Bombyx mori: one gene and its partners. The protein of the gene in region 3 binds, or shares a complex with, the protein of the main gene of each other region. Links are inferred from orthologs where the notes say so. Each region holds a gene or a part of one and is shown on either strand. Other genes may lie near its edges.

The links. The genes of interacting proteins can lie anywhere in the genome.
Region 1: nuclear pore complex protein Nup98-Nup96 (region 3) and nuclear pore complex protein Nup205 share a complex: the UniProt entries of both Drosophila melanogaster proteins name them as parts of the nuclear pore complex. The link is inferred for Bombyx mori from reciprocal best matches to the Drosophila melanogaster genes Nup98-96 and Nup205.
Region 2: nuclear pore complex protein Nup98-Nup96 (region 3) and nucleoporin Nup188 share a complex: the UniProt entries of both Drosophila melanogaster proteins name them as parts of the nuclear pore complex. The link is inferred for Bombyx mori from reciprocal best matches to the Drosophila melanogaster genes Nup98-96 and Nup188.

What each region holds. Positions count from the first base shown.
Region 1 is NC_085121.1:1,021,361-1,025,016, forward strand, and holds part of nuclear pore complex protein Nup205, read left to right. Parts: coding exon 1-67; intron 68-556; coding exon 557-666; intron 667-2,061; coding exon 2,062-2,206; intron 2,207-2,831; coding exon 2,832-3,123; intron 3,124-3,294; coding exon 3,295-3,410; intron 3,411-3,656. UniProt on the Drosophila melanogaster protein: Plays a role in the nuclear pore complex (NPC) assembly and maintenance, but with limited role in NPC permeability. Required for specific nuclear import pathways such as Mad import.
Region 2 is NC_085111.1:4,865,041-4,868,696, forward strand, and holds part of nucleoporin Nup188, read right to left. Parts: intron 3,357-3,656; coding exon 3,064-3,356; intron 2,617-3,063; coding exon 2,317-2,616; intron 2,000-2,316; coding exon 590-1,999; intron 241-589; coding exon 122-240; intron 1-121. UniProt on the Drosophila melanogaster protein: Component of the nuclear pore complex (NPC), a complex required for the trafficking across the nuclear envelope. Required for proper protein transport into the nucleus.
Region 3 is NC_085117.1:3,515,541-3,519,840, reverse strand, and holds the start of nuclear pore complex protein Nup98-Nup96, read right to left. Parts: upstream 2,936-4,300; 5' UTR 2,755-2,935; intron 2,721-2,754; exon of another isoform or gene 2,605-2,720; intron 2,474-2,604; exon of another isoform or gene 2,168-2,473; intron 1-2,167. UniProt on the Drosophila melanogaster protein: Part of the nuclear pore complex (NPC). Required for MAD import as part of the Nup107-160 complex and required for nuclear export of Moe probably via its association with Rae1. Plays a role in nuclear mRNA export.

The DNA of each region.
Region 1 (3,656 bases), on a different chromosome or scaffold from region 3:
CCACGTGCTGCCCGCGGCCCCTCCCAACTTTGCGCACTTCCTACTGGGATACCAGCTCACTGAAGACGTGAGTTGATAATTGTGTTTGAACCCATCAACTAACCCGTTCATTACATTAGAATAGTGAATACATATATCGCACATACGGTGCGATAACGGCACTTATGCAAATTATGTAATTTTTCAGGAGAAAAATATAATTTATTTATTTATTAAGTTGCACCAACAAAGTGATCATCAAACAAATTGATAACAAAAGTTCATGGCAGATGTCACCTTAATTATTATAGGTGCAATCGACAGTGCAACAACAACAAAAATATATATATAACTAAGATTATATTATATAATTCTTATATAGTTCTGCTAGGCTATAGAAATAAAATGATAATATTTAAACTACAACTTTAAACTTCATCAGTAAAACCAAACATCTCTTTCGTCTCAATAATAACTATTAAAAAATTTATTTTCTCATACTCAGTTCAGTGTAACAAAAATTGCATAAGAGACTTTATAGCACCATAATTGTGTGCGATATGTTTTCGTGACACAGATATCCCGGAGTGCCATCCACGAGCCGGGAGTGGCGGGCTTCCCCCGGACCTGCCTGCACTCCATACTGGACCTGCTGGACCAGCACATCGCCGGACACTCTCCCAACAGGTGCCTCTACACCAGCTTTTCCCAAAGTGGGCGATAACGCCCCCTTGTGGGCGCTGCAGGCCTAAAGGGGGGCGGTAAGAGACCCAGAAATAAAATGAGGGCGTTGAGTAGGGTAGTTCATCTAGGAGGGCTCTTAGACACCAACTGAGCTCTCGCTTTAATGGTATAGTAGGTGAAAAAATGGAAGCGCTAAAAAATAATTTATTCTCAAAGTGGGCATTAAACAAAAAAAAATACATGTGTGCAATTCACACGTGGTAGAAGTGAAACCTTCCAAAATTAAAATACAATTATCCTAAACGTCTTAAGTATATGTAAAATTTTGTCATTAGTAAATAATTGTAAGGTAGCGCCCTCTGTGAATTGATATTTTAATTTCACGTATAATCCTAAATTAAAATTCACTACAAGAGCTTTCATACACACGTTAGTATTAAAAAAATCTCACAGATGGCGCTGTATTAAATAGTATGTATATTTCTGTCTCATTCTTTTGTATTTGTGTCTCTTACCTGTCGTTTTTCCGTTGCATCCTGTTTGAAATCACAACGATTCTAAAGAAGTTTTCACTTCAATAAGTTTGAGAGCCCCTGCTCTACACGATATTCATCAAAGGACCGTTGGCCCGACCGCGCCGTGTATACCTTCTGCATTTAGTACGACAGTGTGTTTGCTGATTTTATGTAACAACGAATCAACAAAATAATCATAATTTCTTATATGTACATGCAAAACTGTGCAGCTGTGTGGTTGTTTGTTGATAATTTATGCCTATGATCTAAGACTTGTTAGAGCCGTTTCATATTTTTGTCATGGTACTATCGGCGCGTAGATGCTCCGCGTGGGGTTCCAATGAGTGGGCTATTCATACATTTAAGATGCCACTGAGTTTCTCGTAGGATCTTCTCAGTGGGTCGCGAGTCCGATCCGGTAGTAAATACATTCGCGAAGCAACTACTTTTGAGTTGATAGGTCTCCTTTGGAGACGTTCGGGCAGCTGTTAGCAAATCCCACCCCTCCTGGCCTGGTAAAACTGGAAAGGCCTCGGGGACACCAAACATTAAAAAAAAATTAAGACTTTCTTTTTCATTTTGTGTACAAGCTTATTAACGAACTTCAGTATTATTAATAAAAAAGAAAAGGGAAACACTTATGCTTCCTTTACAAGAAAAAAATCACATTAAGAAAACAAAAGAAAAATTATAATATATAAAATTTGCCAAAATTTTCATGTCTCAGTCATGTGTTCTCATAAAGGCCTAATTTTTCAAAGCGGCGTAATGACGTCCACTTGATAATAATCCGAGTGTGCTCATATATATTAAAAAATCTCTGGTCAAAACTATACAAGTTATATGGATATAAAATTATACAACACATGTATTCTGATAACAGAGAAGCGACCGACTTAGTCGAGAGCTGCTACCGCCTGGTGTACCGGCTGTGCGCGAGGCCGAACACCTCAGCACCGACGCTGCGCTTCCTGAGGTCCAGGGACTACTTCCTGTGTAGACACGTCAAGCACAACGTCGACCTTAAGGTAAACTGTTTCAGTCACGTGACAGAGACAAGACGGTCCACGAGTCCGGCTGGGTGAGTGCTGTACCACAGGAACGACGCCAGGAGCCAAGACTCTTTATGTGAGACTAGCTTTTGCCCGCGGCTTCGTCCGCGTGGAATAGTTCACAAATAATGCTTTATTATAGAACAAATTTGGTTAGCATAAAAAACGTTATAGTGAGCCAACCTTAACATATAGACATATACCGTCGCGGACTTTTTTTTAGATCTTTCATACATTATTACAGCGAAACTTTAATCGTTTCTGCAGCGCACGCAGCGGAAGCTCAAAAGGGAAAAAAACCCGATATTGAAACATTCGTTATTGGTGCTTCGCTTCTATTGGTCTTAGCGTGATGTTATATAGCCTATAGCCTCTCTTAATAAATGGGCTATCTAACACTGAAATAATTTTTCAAATCGGCCTAGTAGTTCCTGAGATTAGTGTGCTCAAACAAACAAACTCTTCAGCTTTATAATATTAGTATGGATTGGAAAAAGTAATGAAAAATAAGTTTTTAAGTGTTCACACTGGAATTAGCTTGAACTGTTGCGACGGTAGAATCGACAAGTTACGAAGCAATATTTGTGTTTGTATTGTTTAGAGTGCGTCGCCCGTGACCGTGTCGGCGCGCTCGTGGGTGCTGCGTGCGTGCGCGTGCGCGGCGGGCGCGGCGGCGGGCGCGGGTCAGCACGCCGCGCTGGCCGCGCTGCTGGCCGCGCTCACGGGCCGCAGCGCCGTCGCCGCGCCGCCCGCGCAGGACTGGGAGTGGTGCCTGCTGCGCCGCACGCTGGAGGAGCTGCCGGTCGCCGTGCAGGAGGTGCGCGAGCCGCGCTGGGAGCTGTTCCACGCGCAGCAGCTGCGACAGGCCATCGCATCCTGTGACCTGCCCACAGGTCCTATACATTATAGATTTGAATTTATATATTAAAATGATAAGTGACATTTATATCATTAGAACTTGTCAGCTATAATATTTCGGTGGTTCTTCCGTGATAACAATACTTAATATTATATTATAAACGTTAATGATAAGGTTAACGGCAACAACGTCTCGAACCGTGCAGGTGGGGGCGGGCGGCGCGTGAGCGTGTCGCGGGTGCACGCGCTGCTGGCGCGCGAGCTGGCCGCGCTCAACGCCACGGCGCCGCAGAGGAACCTCGTCAAACTAGAAATACAAAAGGTGCATCGCTCATACATCTTATTTATTGATATTTTGTTTTTAAATAAAAGAAATACATTACAGTTCATTAATATGTAGATTAAAGGATATTATATAATAATAGATTGTTTAGCAGAGATTCCGAGCACAACACTGTAGGAGTGGGTAATATCGGTTTTGCCGCGTATCGAATCGTATCTATATATCGAGGATCAATATCGGATATTGAATCTATATATTTTCTGAATCTATATATTGATGGATGCT
Region 2 (3,656 bases), on a different chromosome or scaffold from region 3:
TGGCTTTTGTGAAATTTTTGTCTTACCATTGACGTGATCAATTTTGTACTTGAATTTTAAATTTAATTTTTCGGTTTCGTTTAAAATATTTTAAATAACATAAATGTTTATAATTTTTTACCTTGGCAATAAGGACGGCGTCGGCGGAGTGTCGTCGCTCGGAGGCTGCGCGGCGTCGGAGGTACGTCGCGATCGGATCATGTAGATCACGCATTGGTACAGGCACGCGCTTATACTTCTCTGTTCAAAATAAATATATATTTATGTAATGAAGATATTCTTTATGCACATTAACGTAGTATATGCATTTCACTTGACAAAAAAATATTGGGTCGGATTAAATTTTTTACAAAAATAACCTTTGTTCAACTAGAACATTTACGTTAATCAATTCCTGAAAAATGGATTGAAAGGTATATATGGAAGTGTTTTTTTATGTTCATTGGTCTTTCTTCCATGTCGAAACGAAGCGACGGACTGACATGTTTTTTTTTTAATTATGTGAGGAAACTGACTCCGGCAACCTTTTCATTGATCGTGAAGCCACGAATAACAACTAGTAATTTATAATCTTATCAATAATACTCACCATAATACCAAAAAGCGAATGCATGTTCTGTAAGCGCCATCTAGATTCGTATTTCACTAATTGAACTATAAGATTCAAAGCGGACGCGCATACATTTAACGAATCGATGCTGACGACCTGTCGTGGCAGGTTTATGGCCTCTATCAAATGTTCCAAGTGGACCCCGACAAATGTGATCGCGTCACTCGCAAAGAACTGACCGTGTTTCATGACCATCATGGATATAAAGTCTAAGCTGTACGAGTACACTTTCCACCACTCCTCGGGCTTCCAAGTTACGCCGTCGAATTTTGGCGGCAACAGTTGCATCCATAAAAACTGGTCGATATCGCTCAGCAAGAGCTCCTTAGAGAAAGGTCCCCGGGAGTACACAGTTAGGCACCGTAACGCCGCCAGGGACGTCTGGTAATGGCGACGGCTCTGTAAACACATCTGCAAACAGCACAGGAGCTTGTTTATGAATCGACTCGACTGGAACCACTGCGATAGTCCCGAGAACATGTCGTCGTACAACTCCAGACACTGTTCCAACATCGCCAATGATAGAACGACCGGCGATACGTCCTCGTACGTCGAGGGCTCGGTGGTCTTCGTGTCCGATTTAGGAAGATCCTTGAAATCGTCAAACAATTTCTCCAACTCAACGCTATTTAAATTGGTCACGGATCTAATAATGCTTTGCGCGGTGGCACTGTTAGCCTTTATTTCATAATCGAGACCGCTGATCGCGACTGTGCAGATGGAGAGGATGGCTTTTTTGGCCCTCGGGTGGAGGCATTCGTATATAATCGCAGTGTTGGTTAATAAACGATCGATTTGTTTGGCACTGGCTTTTCTGTTTTCAAAGCAATCGTGGCTCCAATTGGCCAACATTATGACGTACAGTTCGGCCAACATAACGACCAGTCTTCCGTCTTTCAGATCTTCGAGTTCGTTCAACAAGGCGGTCATGCAGGGGGTGACCATTTTCGCTTTGTGCGCTATATTCAAACTTATCGGTAAGGTTTTGCAAAAGATCGTGGTGAAATCTTTCCAAGAGGTTAACAATCCAAGCCAGACCGGCACTTTATCGACGGGCTCATTTTCGCTTCTACCTTTAAACGCAAATATATGGTTGATCCATTTGTCCAAATGGGTTTTGTTGGTATCAAACAATTGCTCGAGCATCAGTTTCAAAGCGTTTTCTATTTTCCCCCGAGAGACGAATAGTTCTATGCCGATAACGTTGAATATTTGCGAATAAGTTCTCAAGCCGGGCTGTATCTCACTGAAGAGTGGACTGGTCATGTAATCCCAAAATGTTGCGGTTTCGCGTAATTTTTTCACAAGAATCTGCATATTGTTCTTCCATAGAGCATGGAACAGACCCATTATGCACCCTAAGAGCGGACTTTGAAGTTGTTTCGCATCCTGAAATAATAATTACACAATTATGAATCAATCTGTAAGTAGGTACTTCTGTTTGTTTGCTGCTCTGATAAATGACTTCCAACGATGACTTATAACCTTTTACAGACTGTTAGCGTGGTATGGACATGTGACGCGTAAGAGTGGTAGTGCCAGGTAGAGAGGGAAGAGGTCGACCGAAAAAGACATGGATGGAGTGTGTGAATGACGATATGAAAGAGAGGAGTGTGTGTTGACTTGACGGCTGATAGAAGAGACTGGAATTTCGCTGTACCAACCCCACCTAGTGGGATAAGGTGGAGACAAAGAAGATGACTTACAGCCTTCACAGTTCCCAAGTACTCCGCCATATAACCGAGGATGCTTTCGTAGTTGTACAGGTTTTCCTCCTTATCTTTATCGGTTTCCTTGAGTTTTTTATCGTCATTCGTTTTTTCGTAGTTCATCATGAAGAACGCTTCAGTGAGGCCGGGCTGCGTGCCCACGCACGTGGCCACGAACTCTAGTATGGCCACTTTTAGTTCTGTCGTTTCGTACTCGTCGCGAAGTCGATCGAGGAACAACACCCGCACTTGGTACGCGGTCATGTCCAACGACGCGAACAAGGACATCTGGAAACTCTGTGTAAAAAAAAAATCATCAATTTAATTTTTTTTTTTTTTGTTAAATGGATGGACGAGCTCACAGCGCACCTGGTGTTAAGTGGTTATATTCCTTCTATTATAAAATAATATTGATGTCATAAGATAATGATAAAACCTATTGAGCCCCAAACCACTCGTAGCTTCAATTTGAATACTTATATGTTGAGAATCGAACCGGGAACCCGTGATTTAGTTTACTAACCAAATTATCAAATAATAATAACAAGAGTGTGGCAAAACTTTACAGTTTACAAATAAACTATAATATTAAATTATTATTATTTTTTCATTGTATCTAAGCCCTCGCTGCTTAATCAGTATCCTAGTTCGACCTTCGAGTTTTGAGCATGTATGTGTATGTCCTTTTTATCAAAATGAAACTTCACTTTTGCTTGGATTTTAAATAAATATAATAATACTCACATCGGCAAACATCTTCAAGAGCCTACAGCACAACACGGCCAAGCTTTTGTTGAACACGTGATTGATATAACTTGTCACTTTGGGTACAACTTTCAATGAATCCTTCTGCTTATTCTGAGTGAATATGAGATGTTCCAACGGCGTCATCTCGTTGGATCCCGTGACGAGACTCTTGAGACGCAAAGCGAACATGAGCACCGCCACGCACCTCTGTATTATCGATATAAACTGTGAACCCGTACCGGATGACCAGTTCGTTTCATTTTGTATCATGTTCTCTAAATGTTCATTTCCTTAAAAATTAAAATAAAACATATATTTTTATATTTTGTTCTCTACATATAGTAACAAAATAAATGAAAATAATTAAAATTTCAATTTATTCCGATCCGGTGGTAGATACTGCCCTGCTCTTGCAAAGGCTAGTGTTAGCAAGCCCTCTCAGGTTGTGCCCATGAGCTCAACTACCTGTCTGCGGTCCCGTGGAATATCCTTTACACCCTTACAGGGTACCAGTGAATGGATAGGAAAAAACACGTCATCTCGGATCCTCCCGATCCACTAAGGGTGCTTTTAGGTACCCCAAGCACTGG
Region 3 (4,300 bases):
GATGTACTAGAGACTATTAGTATTAGTACCTATAAGAACATACAGTTCATTTAGAATGAGATGCAATATAATTATAAATTATATAACGATTTTTTTTTATATATATAAGATAATTATATAAGAGTTTGTATATTTGCTATTAATCAGTCTTATATAAAGAAACCTTTTTGTTTTATTTTAAAGTTTGTAAATTTTTTTGTTTATGTTACCCTATTATATTTTTTTTGGTATATAGTTGTTTTTATACAGCTACTTCAAATAGTACCCTTTTCATTTCGTAGTTTGTAAGAGTTTAATTATTTCAAATTTTATGTTTACTTTATAGTTTGTGGGTACATATAATATATTTTTATTAGTAGTACAATATATTATTTAGTCCAAACATTGTTTTATTAACAAAATACTGGTGCTTGCTTCAGCAATACACAATAACAGATGGCTACACTATCATGTAACAAAATGCAGTGTAAAATGTTCTTGAAATTAAAACATGTTTTATGAATAGGACTCTTTATATATAATGACCAAGAGTAGAAGGATCTTATTACACAGTGGTTCAGTGTGTTCAATTATGAAATCAATGTCATGACACAGATATTCCAAGAATGAAAGTAAAAGGTCACAAATGAGTCATGCTATAGTGAAATTTATAAGGAAAAATATTATTTAAATTTATTTCCCATATTAACTTTTTTATAGTCTTTGATTTCAGACAGATATGGGCCCAGGTGTTGTTCACCAACATTGTACTGTTCAAATTGAGACCTTACAACTCATATCTTGAGGTGGGTGGTGGCATCTACATTGCAGATCTCTTATGGGGTTAGGTTACCAGTTTATTCAAATGAGGCTTGTGGAGAGTATTAAGCGGTAGGCAGCAGCTTGGCTGTGCCCCTGGCATTGCTGAAGTCCATGGGCGACGGTAACCACTCACCATCAGGTGGGCCGTATGCTTGTCTGCCTACAAAGGCAATAAAAAAAAATTAACACCAAGTGGACCATGAGCTTGTCCACCCATCAAAGCTATAAAAAAACACTATCGGTAACCAATAAAACCATGGCCAAAATTATTATGCAACTTTTCAATCCTAAAGGCTATGTTTGAAACACATCCTTATTCTAAGACATGTCCTGTGTGCTTGAGAAATAGTGCACAGTATGCGGCAAAAACTATGACAGTTCCGGGTATTAGGAATGAGAACTGCTCCAGCTACAGCTGGTGTGGTTCTCAAACTATAGATAAATTTCAAATAGTTCATTAGAACGACAACCCCTTTAATAATTTTTTTAAAAGTATTGAAGTGTGAGCGTTCTCTTGGGTGTCCTGGCTTGGTTAAGTGGCTAGCAGAGCACATAATGCCACCACCCACCTAAAAACGTGAGATCCATGTCCCAGTTGTATAGTAATAAAAAAATTTAATGAAATAATTAGATTAAATTGGATCATAATTCCAAGATCTTATCTATTTGAATATGTTGGCCAAATCAACAATTTTAATCACCACTAAGCCTAATGTTATTTGGTTTCTTTGGAATTCCTTTTTATGGAGTTACTGCAGCCCTTAGACATCAACAACATAAATACCGCCAGCCACCTCGAGAGATGAGTTCTAAGTTAGTTGTAGCTTTTCCCTGCTTAAAGCCGTAATATATTGCTGCTTCATAGCAAAAACAGGCATGACAGTGGTATCTACCCATACAGGCTCATAGGACTCTGTAATGCCAGTGTGCAACGTGTTTAGTTTATAATACTGTTAGTAAGACCATAGCTTTGTTGGTAAAATAGTCAGTGAGAAGACAATTTTTTCCTCTGAATTCATACAGTTGGGAGTTATGATGTTTCTGATAGCCTAGAATAAAGTCATTTAGGAATAATTCAGTCATTCCACTTCAAAAGTTCATGTTTCGTGATGACTGCCATAATTGTCGGTTTATATGTGTTTGAAAATTAATAGAATGTCTGTCTACAAAGGCAATGTTACTGTTTTCAAAGACAACTGCTAGTTTCTCTCTAGAGACAATAAAAATATCACTAAGTTTTACAAAAAAAAAATACTTTTAAATTTTACAAAACTTAACCTTAATTAGATTTTAGTTTATATTTTATAAGATTAGTCGTTTTTAAAATCAAAAATAAAAATATTGAAAAAAGTATACAAATACCTACACTATTATCAGAATTTCTAACAATAGTATTTTTGAATTTTACTATTAAATTCTTTCAATTTATTCACTTTTATTGCAAAACGTATTTTAAATATAACTCTGTGTCTATTTGAATTCTATTAATTTTAAATTTTAGACGCAGTACTTAACCTAACCACAAGACGTTTAGAGAATTTCCGTTGGTATTGCACTTTATAGCGATAACTCGCAACCGTAAAGCATTGTTGCTGTATGCTTATTTATATTAGCTTTTTATTGCACAACGAATTTCACAATTTTATTAGAAAATTTTGCAACCAAAACGTGTGACGTCAATTTTGAGGTAAAACCAAACGAAATTAAGAGTGTCGCAATACTCGTTTGATTTATGTTTTTGAGGATGGTATAATAAGCAAGAAATTAAAAATAACGAAGATGTTTCGAAGATATTTCAATTACCTAATTTACAGTTTTCACTAATACTTCGTAACAAGTATAAACACAAATTTCGTGGTTATTATCTCAACTATTGTTATTTTATCAATTCAAATTAGGATCTTACAAATCGGTCGGGTAATCGACATAACGTTGGAAACTCAAGAATCTTACCGTGTTCGTATCGAAAGATTGTTGTGCGGCTTTAAATGCACGAAAAACCGTTCTCCTTTTCTTGTTCACTTTAATAGTACTTAATTACATATAATACTTGTTATTAAGAAGAAAACGCAGAATACATCGGCTTCAGTAGGTAAACAAAACAATGATCTGACCATCGACAATTTCAACTTAGATTGTTGAATCCATTTAAAAATTTAATTTTTAAGAAAAAAAAAACAAATCATGGACAAATAAATTTTAATAAGTTTTTAAAATATTACTACATAATCCAAGATCGCTAAAATTCGATTAGGGCAATGGCCAGACCGAGATCCCAAGTCACTAACATAGCTCATAAAATTAAAAAGTGGAATTAACAAGGCTGTTTTCTTATGCCAAGGAACTAAGAATTGATAAATCAGACTAGTTCATAAGTAACAACAATGCCAACTCCTTTGTTATGTAACTTAGATTAATATAAAACGTGTCTTCCAGACTTCCTTGGAACTTGAAAAGGGCTATACTTAGGTTTGCATGAAATTCGATAATAACGTCACACTCGTAGTTTAATTTATTAAAATCTGTTTGGAAGTCAAAATCTTCTTCACAATGATGTCGAAAAGTCACTTCAAAATATGGTTTTATTTAATTAAACCACAGAAGACTTTTTTTATTTTTTTTTCCTTTATAATTCTCTCTGCCTCTTCCTCTAATTTTACTGGTGGTGGATTATTACACTGTCTATTTCCGTCATGATCCAGCAAGTACTGGCTTAACCCGAGCTAACATTGACCCAGAACAAAAACTGTGCTTCGCTGAATCTAATACCGGATCGGAATCGCAACCCACAAAAAAAATCGATGAGAAAGACATTAGACTGTGTCTATGGGTTAATTGACGAGTTCGATGAGAGCGGTGATCAGTGCTTAGACAGTCTGAAAGCACCGAGAGTGAATCGGGAGTGTCCCGATGTGCCCCGTCGTCTGTGACGATTATGTAGTTAAAGACAGCCACAATAAAAAGGTTATCGCGTCGCACCGCTCTTTCGAAGAAGCGTTGTGACGGTACCTTCACGTGTTGGTTTTAATTGGATGTCGTTAATTCCTTACATACTAATGTGCTTCGAAGGCTATCTTGTAGAAACGGGATTGGCTGACCTGGAGTTTATGTGAGTGTGGAGCGCGTGAGCGAACACTACACTTGAATATGTCATGACGGAACGTATCCAAGTTTTCTAGAGTGTGTCCATAAACATGCGTTCCGGTCTTTAAAGGTTTTTTCTTATGAATGATGGATTACTGGTGGCTCAGAGGCCTTTCCAGTTTTACCAGGACAGGTGGGTGAGCACGGGCTCAGCCAGGAGGGTTGGGATTAGCTAACAGCTGCCCAAACGCCTCCAAACGAGACCTAACAACTCAAGAGCAACTGCTTCGTGAATGAATCTACTACCGGATCGGAATCACGACTCGCTGAGAAGATCCGGCGAGAAACTTAGCGGGCCGATGCATGGGTTAGCTTGCACGTCGAATTCTTTGCCGATTTCGACGACGACGACGAT